Linked DNA regions of Arabidopsis thaliana. The protein of the gene in region 2 interacts with the protein of the main gene of each other region in a biochemical or structural test. Each region holds a gene or a part of one and is shown on either strand. Other genes may lie near its edges.

The links. The genes of interacting proteins can lie anywhere in the genome.
Region 1: the proteins of ARAC9 (region 2) and ROPGEF11 form a complex in vitro, tested with the Arabidopsis thaliana proteins (one study listed by BioGRID).

Annotation. Positions count from the first base shown.
Region 1 is NC_003070.9:19,454,995-19,460,000, reverse strand, and holds ROPGEF11 (rop guanine nucleotide exchange factor-like protein), read left to right. Parts: upstream 1-1,931; 5' UTR 1,932-2,122; coding exon 2,123-2,432; intron 2,433-2,553; coding exon 2,554-2,670; intron 2,671-2,763; coding exon 2,764-2,993; intron 2,994-3,081; coding exon 3,082-3,345; intron 3,346-3,432; coding exon 3,433-3,753; intron 3,754-3,845; coding exon 3,846-4,235; 3' UTR 4,236-4,492; downstream 4,493-5,006. Other genes in the region: AT1G52245 (dynein light chain LC6, flagellar outer arm-like protein), read left to right, coding at 766-903, 1,011-1,157; PSAH2 (photosystem I subunit H2), read right to left, coding at 4,493-4,672, 4,749-4,875, 4,969-5,006. UniProt on the Arabidopsis thaliana protein: Guanine-nucleotide exchange factor (GEF) that acts as an activator of Rop (Rho of plants) GTPases by promoting the exchange of GDP for GTP.
Region 2 is NC_003071.7:18,427,122-18,431,409, reverse strand, and holds ARAC9 (RAC-like 9), read right to left. Parts: upstream 2,290-4,288; 5' UTR 2,135-2,289; coding exon 2,000-2,134; intron 1,915-1,999; coding exon 1,827-1,914; intron 1,582-1,826; coding exon 1,472-1,581; intron 1,372-1,471; coding exon 1,308-1,371; intron 1,203-1,307; coding exon 1,138-1,202; intron 1,043-1,137; coding exon 977-1,042; intron 876-976; coding exon 774-875; 3' UTR 528-773; downstream 1-527. Other genes in the region: AT2G44700 (Galactose oxidase/kelch repeat superfamily protein), read right to left, coding at 1-395; CKB4 (casein kinase II beta subunit 4), read left to right, coding at 3,244-3,466, 3,561-3,779, 3,865-3,974, 4,045-4,210. UniProt on the Arabidopsis thaliana protein: Inactive GDP-bound Rho GTPases reside in the cytosol, are found in a complex with Rho GDP-dissociation inhibitors (Rho GDIs), and are released from the GDI protein in order to translocate to membranes upon activation.

The DNA of each region.
Region 1 (5,006 bases), on a different chromosome or scaffold from region 2:
TAAAAAGATTAAACACACCATTTGCATTAAAAAGTTGAGAATTCTTCAAGAACTAGCATAGGTTGCTAGCTAGATCAATGGGTCCTAAACCTTCTTAATGGGCTTATAAATCCCAACTGTTACACCGACATATTTACGAGTTTTGTGGAAGGCTTAGCTAATTACATTTTTTTTCTTTCACATGTTAGCTATTTAACTAATTAATTATGCACCTCTCCATCGTTATCCATTAAACGTCAAAGACAAAAAATACTTGGACACACGTAAGAGAGAGACACATATATCTGCTCAAATGAGTCATTACACCTTATTTTATTATACTTTTTCTTAACTGTCTTGTTCCTTTTTTTAGTCTTCAAATTATCAACTTTGTTTCTTTGATCAGCTTTGTCATCTTGAAATTATCAACGTTTTGACTAAATTTAAAGAACAGTTGTGTTCGTTCGTGCCATTCTTTTGAATGCTTATACGTACATTTCTTCTTGAAAAGACTTTGAATCCAAGAACCCGTGAGGAAGTAATCCCAGTGAAGAGAAGACGACAAAGAAAAAGGTTAGGCACATTTTCCCATATTTTTCCTCAAAGAGGAGACATTATTTATCTTTGTATGGGTTTTCTTGATAAAGATTAGATATTGAAGGAATCTTTTTTTCATTTTGTGTCTTTTAGGAGCCTATAAAGATCCAAAGCTTCCCTTGTCTTTAGTTCTCATCAAAAAAATTGAAAAACGTTTGGAGTTATTGAGAGAGAGAGAGATAGAGAAAGATGTTGGAAGGCAAAGCAATGGTGGAAGATTCAGACATGCCAGTGAAGATGCAGATGCAAGCTATGGCATTTGCTTCTCAAGCTCTTGACCTTTTTGATGTCTTTGACTGTAAATCCATTGCTGGTCACATCAAGAAGGTATTAGTAATGATTTTCTTCAATTCTATTTATAAGTCATAAATACATCATTATCATCTATATATAACTACTTGGTTAATTTTGTTTGTTCTATAATGAATTTTCAGGAGTTTGATGAGAGATATGGGAGTGGATGGCAATGTGTGGTGGGATCAAATTTTGGGTGTTTCTTCACACATTCTAAAGGGACTTTTATCTATTTTCAATTGGAGACACTTAAGTTCCTCATCTTTAAAGGCGCTTCTACTCCTTAATTACACTACCCTAATCATGGGGATGTTTTTTTTTCCTTTTTCTTTTGCTTCTATGAAAATCTGAGAAAAAAAAATCTTGCTAAGACTATCAAGATCTTTAGCTTTGTTTGAATTCTAAGTTTGTAAATAGGCCCAAGCTAAGAGAGGAAGTTGATTTCAATGATGTAAGATTTTTCATTTTTACAAGTGTTTGCTTTTGTGATCAATAAAAGTGAAATGCAGAAGATTTTTTATATTTATATTCTTTTAGTTGAGATGCAAACAATTATAATTGCCCAGCCACAAATAGAGAATTTCTTAGACTGACTTAGACTAATCTATCATTAGCATAATATAAATTTATTTTAAACTTTTACTTTGATAGAAATTCAGAGAGAGGTCAAAATTGAGGAAAACATTATCATCCATAATCCTTAATTTAGTTGAGAAACTGAGATTTTTTTAATACAACAAGACATAAACAAAAATGATATTACAGATAATGTCAGTAACATGTCCTCCCTACATCTCAATGTTTGATTTAAAGAAAAAGATTGAGATTTTTTTTATGTGTGTGGAGAAATTCAACTTTCAAATAACGTGCAGCCCACATTCCACCAAGTATCAATTTATAAATAGTAAAACATTTCAAGAAAATTAAAAATATCCTCTTATTTTTTTCCCCTGAAGAATCTGACCAAATTCACTACTTGTTTATGGTTATGGACAACGAATCATAATAGTTACTAAAATAATCAGGTTAAAACTAAAACCATTAACAGAAGTCAAATGATGGTGTTCTGTATTTGCTAAGTCTGAAATTAAAATCAAACACCGTTTTTTGGTTAATTAAGTTTGTTTTTTCTTCATGATCTCCTAAAACTCCTCTTTATTACACGAAGAGGAGAACAAATGGAGATTAAAAAGAATTTTCAAATCATAGAAATCTTTTCATTTTTTTTATTGTTTTGATTAACTAGTAATTAATGGTAAAAGCAATGGAGCAAGAACAAGAGACTTACAAATCAAGATTGTTTCATTTCAAGAACATGAACGAAAACTCAGCTTCAAGACATGTTAAAAGCTGGAGCTCAGATTGTGCAATGAGAATGGATGGTTCTGACAATTTGGATGATGATGATAATGACATGATGATGTTTAGGAGTCAACCCGGAAAATGTGGCAGCGTTGACCGACCTTCTTTGCCTATAGGCGGAGTAACGCCTAATCGCAATGACAAGCTTCCGAGAGTCTCTTCATCGGATTCCATGGAGGCACTAATAATATTGCAAGCAGGTAAAATCTAATGAACTGGCTCATATCTTCTAGGTTTCTTGGATTGCAAGTTAGGGGCAAAGTACTAATCTTGGATTATAAGTTAGGGCAAAAACTAAAGTATATGTTGTTGTTATTACAGCAATGGAGCAAATGAAAGAGAAATTTTCGAAATTGCTTCTTGGAGAAGATATGTCAGGAGGAGGAAAAGGTGTTTCATCGGCTTTGGCTTTATCTAACGCCATTACCAATCTCGCAGGTAAGATCTTTTCCCAAATCTTTCAGTTCCATGGAAATTTTCAATTTTATCACCAATTTGATGTTAAGTTCTGTAATTTTTTTGTTGTTGCAGCGTCTGCGTTTGGAGAACAACGGCGTTTAGAGCCAATGGCGGTGGATAGAAAAACGCGTTGGAGGAGAGAAATTGGATGGCTTATCTCTGTGGCTGATTATATAGTTGAATTCGCTCCAACACAACAAACAAACAAAGATGGTACTTCAATGGAAGTCATGTCAACAAGACAAAGAACAGATCTTCTCTGTAACATCCCTGCACTTAAGAAACTCGATGCTATGCTTCTCGTAAGAAGAACAAACAACAACAGCACAAAATATACTAATCAAAGGCTGTTAAATAATTAATCTCACATTTATAATCATTCTCTTGCAGGATTGTCTTGATAAATTCAAGGATCAGGATGAGTTTTATTATGTTAAAAAAGATTCTCCTGATTCTTGCGAGACAAGGAACGATGAGAAATGGTGGTTACCGGCAGTAAAAGTCCCACCTAACGGCCTCTCAGAGATATCAAGAAGGTTTCTACAGAGCCAGAAGGAATGTGTGAATCAAGTCCTTAAAGCTGCAATGGCGATAAACGCTCAAGTTCTGTCTGAAATGGAGATTCCTGAAAGCTACCTTGAGTCACTTCCTAAGGTTATTTAATAAACACATAAAAACATTCATCAAGAATCTGTTATTGATCTAGTCCTTATCGATGTTTTCGTGTGTTGTTGAGAACAGAATGGGAGAGCTAGCTTGGGAGATGTGATATACAGAATGATAACAGTAGAGATGTTTGATGCAGATCAATTCCTAATTGAAATGGATTTATCATCTGAGCACAAGATTCTTGATCTAAAGAACAGAATCGAAGCATCGATTGTGATATGGAAGAGGAAAATGGTGCAGAAGGACACAAAGTCTCCTTGGGGATCAACAGTGAGTATTGAGAAAAGAGAACAGTTTGAAGAAAGAGCTGAAACCATCTTGCTACTATTAAAACAAGGGTTTCCCGGAATCTCACAGTCCTCGCTCGATATCAGCAAGATTCAATTCAACAGAGTAATTTAAAACTCTTAACTTCCAAATACATTTTGATTGTGTTTTCTCTATGGTCATGAGAAAATCTCATTATTGGATAATTGTTGTTGCAGGATGTAGGACTTGCGATATTGGAGAGTTATTCAAGAGTGCTTGAGAGTTTAGCTCACACCGTGATGTCGAGAATAGAAGACGTGCTTTACGCTGATCAGCTTACTCAAGAACCTACAAATAATGCACCTTCTAAGAACAGATATAGCTTGAAGGAGAATGAGAAACTAAGAGAGGAAAGACTAAGTTTCACAGAGGATATGGCTTCAGGAACACTTTCTGATGTTATGCAATGGGGTAACAAAAACAATGAAATGAAGAAAGAAAGCTTTTTCGGAGATAGAGAGAAACCGTTGTTGTCGAAAGTCACAGGTATAATGACTAACAACAAGAAGAGTTCTTATCTTGATAATCTTGGAGCTATGAGGAGTCCAACCGCAAGATACTCCTGAGAGAAACCGGTTTCTTTTTTCCGTTCTTGTTAAATTAGGGCTTCTTACTGCATTTTCAATCTGCTTAAAGATTCCACAAAATGCACCATTGTGTGTTGTAGCAGACTTGAAATGCAATTTCATTGATTCATCATAACTGATTTTCAGAATCACTAGCTTACAAAGCAATTAACACAACACAGTACAATATACATAAATAGGGTTCATAGAATTGGGGAGAAAGTTTCTGACTTTTTGAAAGATTTTAGAAAGCTAATTTAAAGCTTGCCGCGAGGACCGAGCTTAGGTGGCTCTTGAGGACCTCTCTTAATCGGAAGAACATCGCCGGTAGAGTTCGCACTAACATATGTAAGCAAAGAGCCTCCTCCAAGAATCAAAAATTTGAGAAGCAAACCTCTCTTTGTGAAAGGAGCAGCAAATGTCTCAAAGAACTTGCTCTGCAAGCAACATAATCACAAAGTCTTAGAATTTGAAGAAGCATATAGATCTAAAGATTTAAGAGTGTACAAAAACCTGAAGTGGGTTATAAGGAGAAGGAGCATCAGATCCATACACATCCCATTGTCCTGTTGTGTTACCCAAATCTTCTAAATCAAAGTATACACTTTTGTCTCCATACTTAGCCACCACAGCACCAGCTCTACACAAACAATCAAAAGTAACATCCTTTCTTTAATACCAATCCTCATCAATGTCAATCCAAGATTCCAAATTTCAAAGCTTTAAACTTTACCTGGTGGATTTGGTTTTGAAGCTTTGGCGAGAAGGTTT
Region 2 (4,288 bases):
TTTGGACCAACGGCGTTCATGGAAAATCGATTAGGCTCGGAAGGATAAGGGAACTCAATGGATTCGAAGAGATTCTCGGTCGTACTGTTCTCGATTCTCCGGAGAGTGTACCAGTAGTCGTATACGGGGCGATAATTTTCGTCGATGAAGCCGATATAGAGATAATCTTTTCCGAGTAAAGATCGAGCCTTGTGAATTTCAGGCGAGCGAACAAGACTCCGCATGTTCTTGGAGACGGAGCAGAGGATTGGGTAATATCGTTTTGGGACGCGGGCTAAGATCATCGAAATGATTTCCAGTGGCAGTGACAAAAACAATGACGGCGATGCCGATGCCGATGCCGATGACGACGATGGTTGGTCGGTTTTTCGCGGTGGTTCGTTGGAGCTAGACATCGACTCTAGTTTAAAGGAGAAGACTAGAGAATTGAGATTTTATTGATTTATTCTATTTCGGTTTCGGTTATTAGCCAAAAAACAAAACCCGGTTTATTTATTCTTCGATTCTGTTTCAATCGGTTTATTTTGTTTCTTTTTGCGCTAAAACGGTTCTTTGTTGTTGTCTCTTGAACTCAAAGAAGACAAACATTGTTCTTTTACATAGACTGATAGACGAGAATTCGCTTATAATTCTGTTACAAGAATCTCTACTACAAGATCAAACTTTTATAACGAAGATAGCTAATCATACTAAAATCTGCAAGAGTCCTTCATAGAAGAAACACACTAAAAAAGATGTAAAACAAACCAAAGCCAGAGACTTGAGTACACTAGTCAAAGAACATGGCATAAACCGATCTTTCTCTTTCGCTTCTTAGTCTTTGAAGGAGGATGTAAAACTACTTTGATCGCTTCATCAAACACGGCTTTTACGTTCTGCAAATTTAGCATCATCATAAGTCTTTCTTTATCAGATTGAGGTCCAAAATATTTGGTCTAATTGTAAAATGTAACTCAAGCATTAATGGTTACTTTACCATTTGTGCTTTTGAGCTGCACTCTATGTATGCTAATGCTCCTATTTCCTTTCTTAGTTCTTGACCCTATAAAAGAAGCAATCTTTGAGTTATAAAAGAGTTTGATTCTTAACATGGTTCTTGATCATATACATTGAAGAAGAATCTTTAAAAAAACATACCTGTTCTGGGAAGATTGTGCAAGCACCTGGATAATTCTTTGGGAACTGCATGTTGTCTCTTAGATCTGCAATATCAAGAAATTCATCTTATATACTACATAACATCACTTACACATTGATGTTAGATTCCTAACATTCAAGACATAACAGAGTGGTTCATTATCTTCAACCTGATTTGGTTCCCACAAGAACAATAGGCACAGTCGGGGCATAATGTCTCAGCTCGGGTACCCACTGCGAAAGAAAACCGATCCATATGCACATGAGATCAGTGTTGTAAAGTTAAATTACAGTGAAATTAAAAGTAAAAGGAAAGATAATCTCAAGTCTCAACCTTTTTAGCAATGTTCTCAAAGCTAGGCCTGCTAATAAGTGAGAAGGCAAGAATGAAAACATCTGCTCCTCTGTAACTCAATGGTCTAACCCTATTGTAGTCTTCTTGACCTGTAATATAATGTGAATCACCCAAAAGATATATAACACAAGAATCATAATTGGTCTCATTTAAGTTTTGAAGAAACATGAGCAAAATCTGATAGTGAATTCAAGAACCAAAACAATGTTGCATCAAAGATTCAAATTTTTCAACTGACTTCTTTTAAAAGGACCAAAAGATTAGACCTTGACATATTGTTGTAGATATAAAGCTAAAGACAAGAACAACTTTGACATTAGGTAAAAGCATTTACCAGCAGTATCCCAGAGACCCAGATTGACAGTTTTACCATCGACTAAAACATTAGCATTGAAATTGTCGAACACTGTTGGAACATAATCCTGTAATAACAAGATCTCAACAGTCACCAAAAGCTATCAAGAAAAGCAATCCAAAAGAGAGAGAGGGAGAGATGGATTTATATACAGTGGGGAACGTGTTGCTGGTGTAGGAAATAAGAAGACAAGTTTTGCCCACAGCTCCATCGCCAACAGTGACACACTTTATAAACGTTGTAGCTGTTGCTGATGATGTTGATGTTGCAGCCATTGAAGCTGACATTGATTGAGAAAATTCTCTGATTTTACTTACCCTGTTCTCTCTCTTTCTGTGGTTTTATTCTGGTTCAAGTGAAGAATGAGAATGAGACTTGAGTGGTAAAAAAGGAGTCAACTTTAATTTGAGCTGTCAGAGAGCCAAAACGCCTTAAAAATAATTTTTTATTCGGTGGGTTTGATTTCTTTCCTATTTTTTGAATTTAGATAGATTTTGCCATATTTTACTTCTTTCCAAAAAAACTCTAATTGGTAACACATAGCTGTACATAACTTTTATCTGTTAACTTTTTTTGAAATAGTATAAAATTACTAAAAAACAGTTATATTAAAAAAAATGTATAAAAAAGCTGAGAGAAAAATCTTTTAGTAACGCTTTTGATAAAAAAAATTATAATTGGTAGAAATGAAAGTTGTACAAATTATAGTGCTTTGTTTTTTTCACCAATCAATGCAAATGCAAAGGTCCAAATGTTTCAGCAAAATGAAAATAAGTGGTGGTTATATCAAATCAAATTTTGTAAATTCAGTTACATTTACATGACTAATTTTACAAGATGTGTAATTTTAATTATCTCTAGATCATTTGTTTTTTTTTTCGATTTAAGTTTGGACAATGGATCGACCACCAAACACATCATCATTAACAAAGATGGAAAGGCAAGTCCATTATTACTACCGTGTTGATACAAAAAAAAATGAATTTTATGATTTCTTTCTTCCTAAGATATAATTTGGAATCATAGTTTAAGTACAAAAAAATGTTTCCTTCTACGTGAATCTTTGTATTACAACTGTCAGTGTCATAAGGCCCATCCGAAAAGCCCATTTCTAAATACTAGAATTTTAAAAAATTAAACAATGATTAAAAAAAAAAAAAAAAACAAAGAGAAGAAAACAAAACAGTAGAGAATGAGAAAAAACCACAGGGAAAAGCAGAGCACTCTTTATCTCTTCTTCTCTCTTTCTTCTACTCTGTGATCAAACTATCGAAGAAAAAACAAACCCTAGATTTATCCGCCCCTCTTCTTCCTCTGATGATAAGAAAGTCGAAGACTTTGAGAATCTAAAGCTGAAAAATTTTGTTTTTTTTCATTGAGGGAATCGAATCGAGTTATGTACAAGGATCGGAGTGGAGGAGGAATAATGGGTGGTGGTGGATCATCGAGATCGGAGATCCTTGGTGGAGCTATTGATCGGAAACGAATCAATGATGCTTTAGACAAACATCTTAAGAAATCTTCACCTTCTACATCTAGGGTTTTCACTTCTAAGGACAAAGATTCTGTCCCTTCTACTTCAACTGCTAAATCTCAGCTTCATTCTCGTTCCCCCGATGGTTAATTGCTTATATCTCACTCAATTTCAATTTCATGTGGTTTTAGTACTTTCTGATTTGGGTATTAATAAATTTTGATTCTTTGTGGATGCAGTTGAATCTGACACGGATAGTGAAGGATCAGATGTGAGTGGTTCAGAAGGTGATGATACCTCTTGGATCTCATGGTTTTGTAATTTGAGAGGGAATGAGTTTTTCTGTGAAGTAGATGAAGATTATATACAAGATGATTTCAATCTCTGTGGTTTGAGTGGTCAAGTTCCTTACTATGATTATGCACTTGATCTCATTTTAGATGTTGAATCATCAAATGGTAAGTGAAGGGTCCATTTGATGAATTTAGGCTTTACTTTGTCTGAGAATTGTTGTATAATTTGGAGGAATGTTTATTGGATTAGGTGATATGTTTACTGAAGAACAGCATGAGATGGTGGAATCAGCTGCTGAGATGTTATATGGTCTTATTCATGTTCGTTATATTCTCACTACTAAAGGAATGGCTGCTATGGTAAGCAAGATACTTCTTCTACATCTTTGTTTCTGATTGATCTTTTGAATGATATCTTTCTCTTTTGTAGATGGAGAAGTATAAGAATTATGATTTCGGGAGATGCCCCAGAGTTTTCTGTTGCGGACAGTCTTGTCTTCCGGTTGGCCAATCTGATATCCCGAGGTCGAGCACTGTGAAGATATACTGCCCAAAATGCGAGGATATTTACTACCCGCGATCTAAATACCAAGGCAGTATCCTTTGCTCCTCTGTTCAAAAAAGCTTTATCTTGTCATAATATGATGCATCTGCTATTGTTTGGTTAAACATTG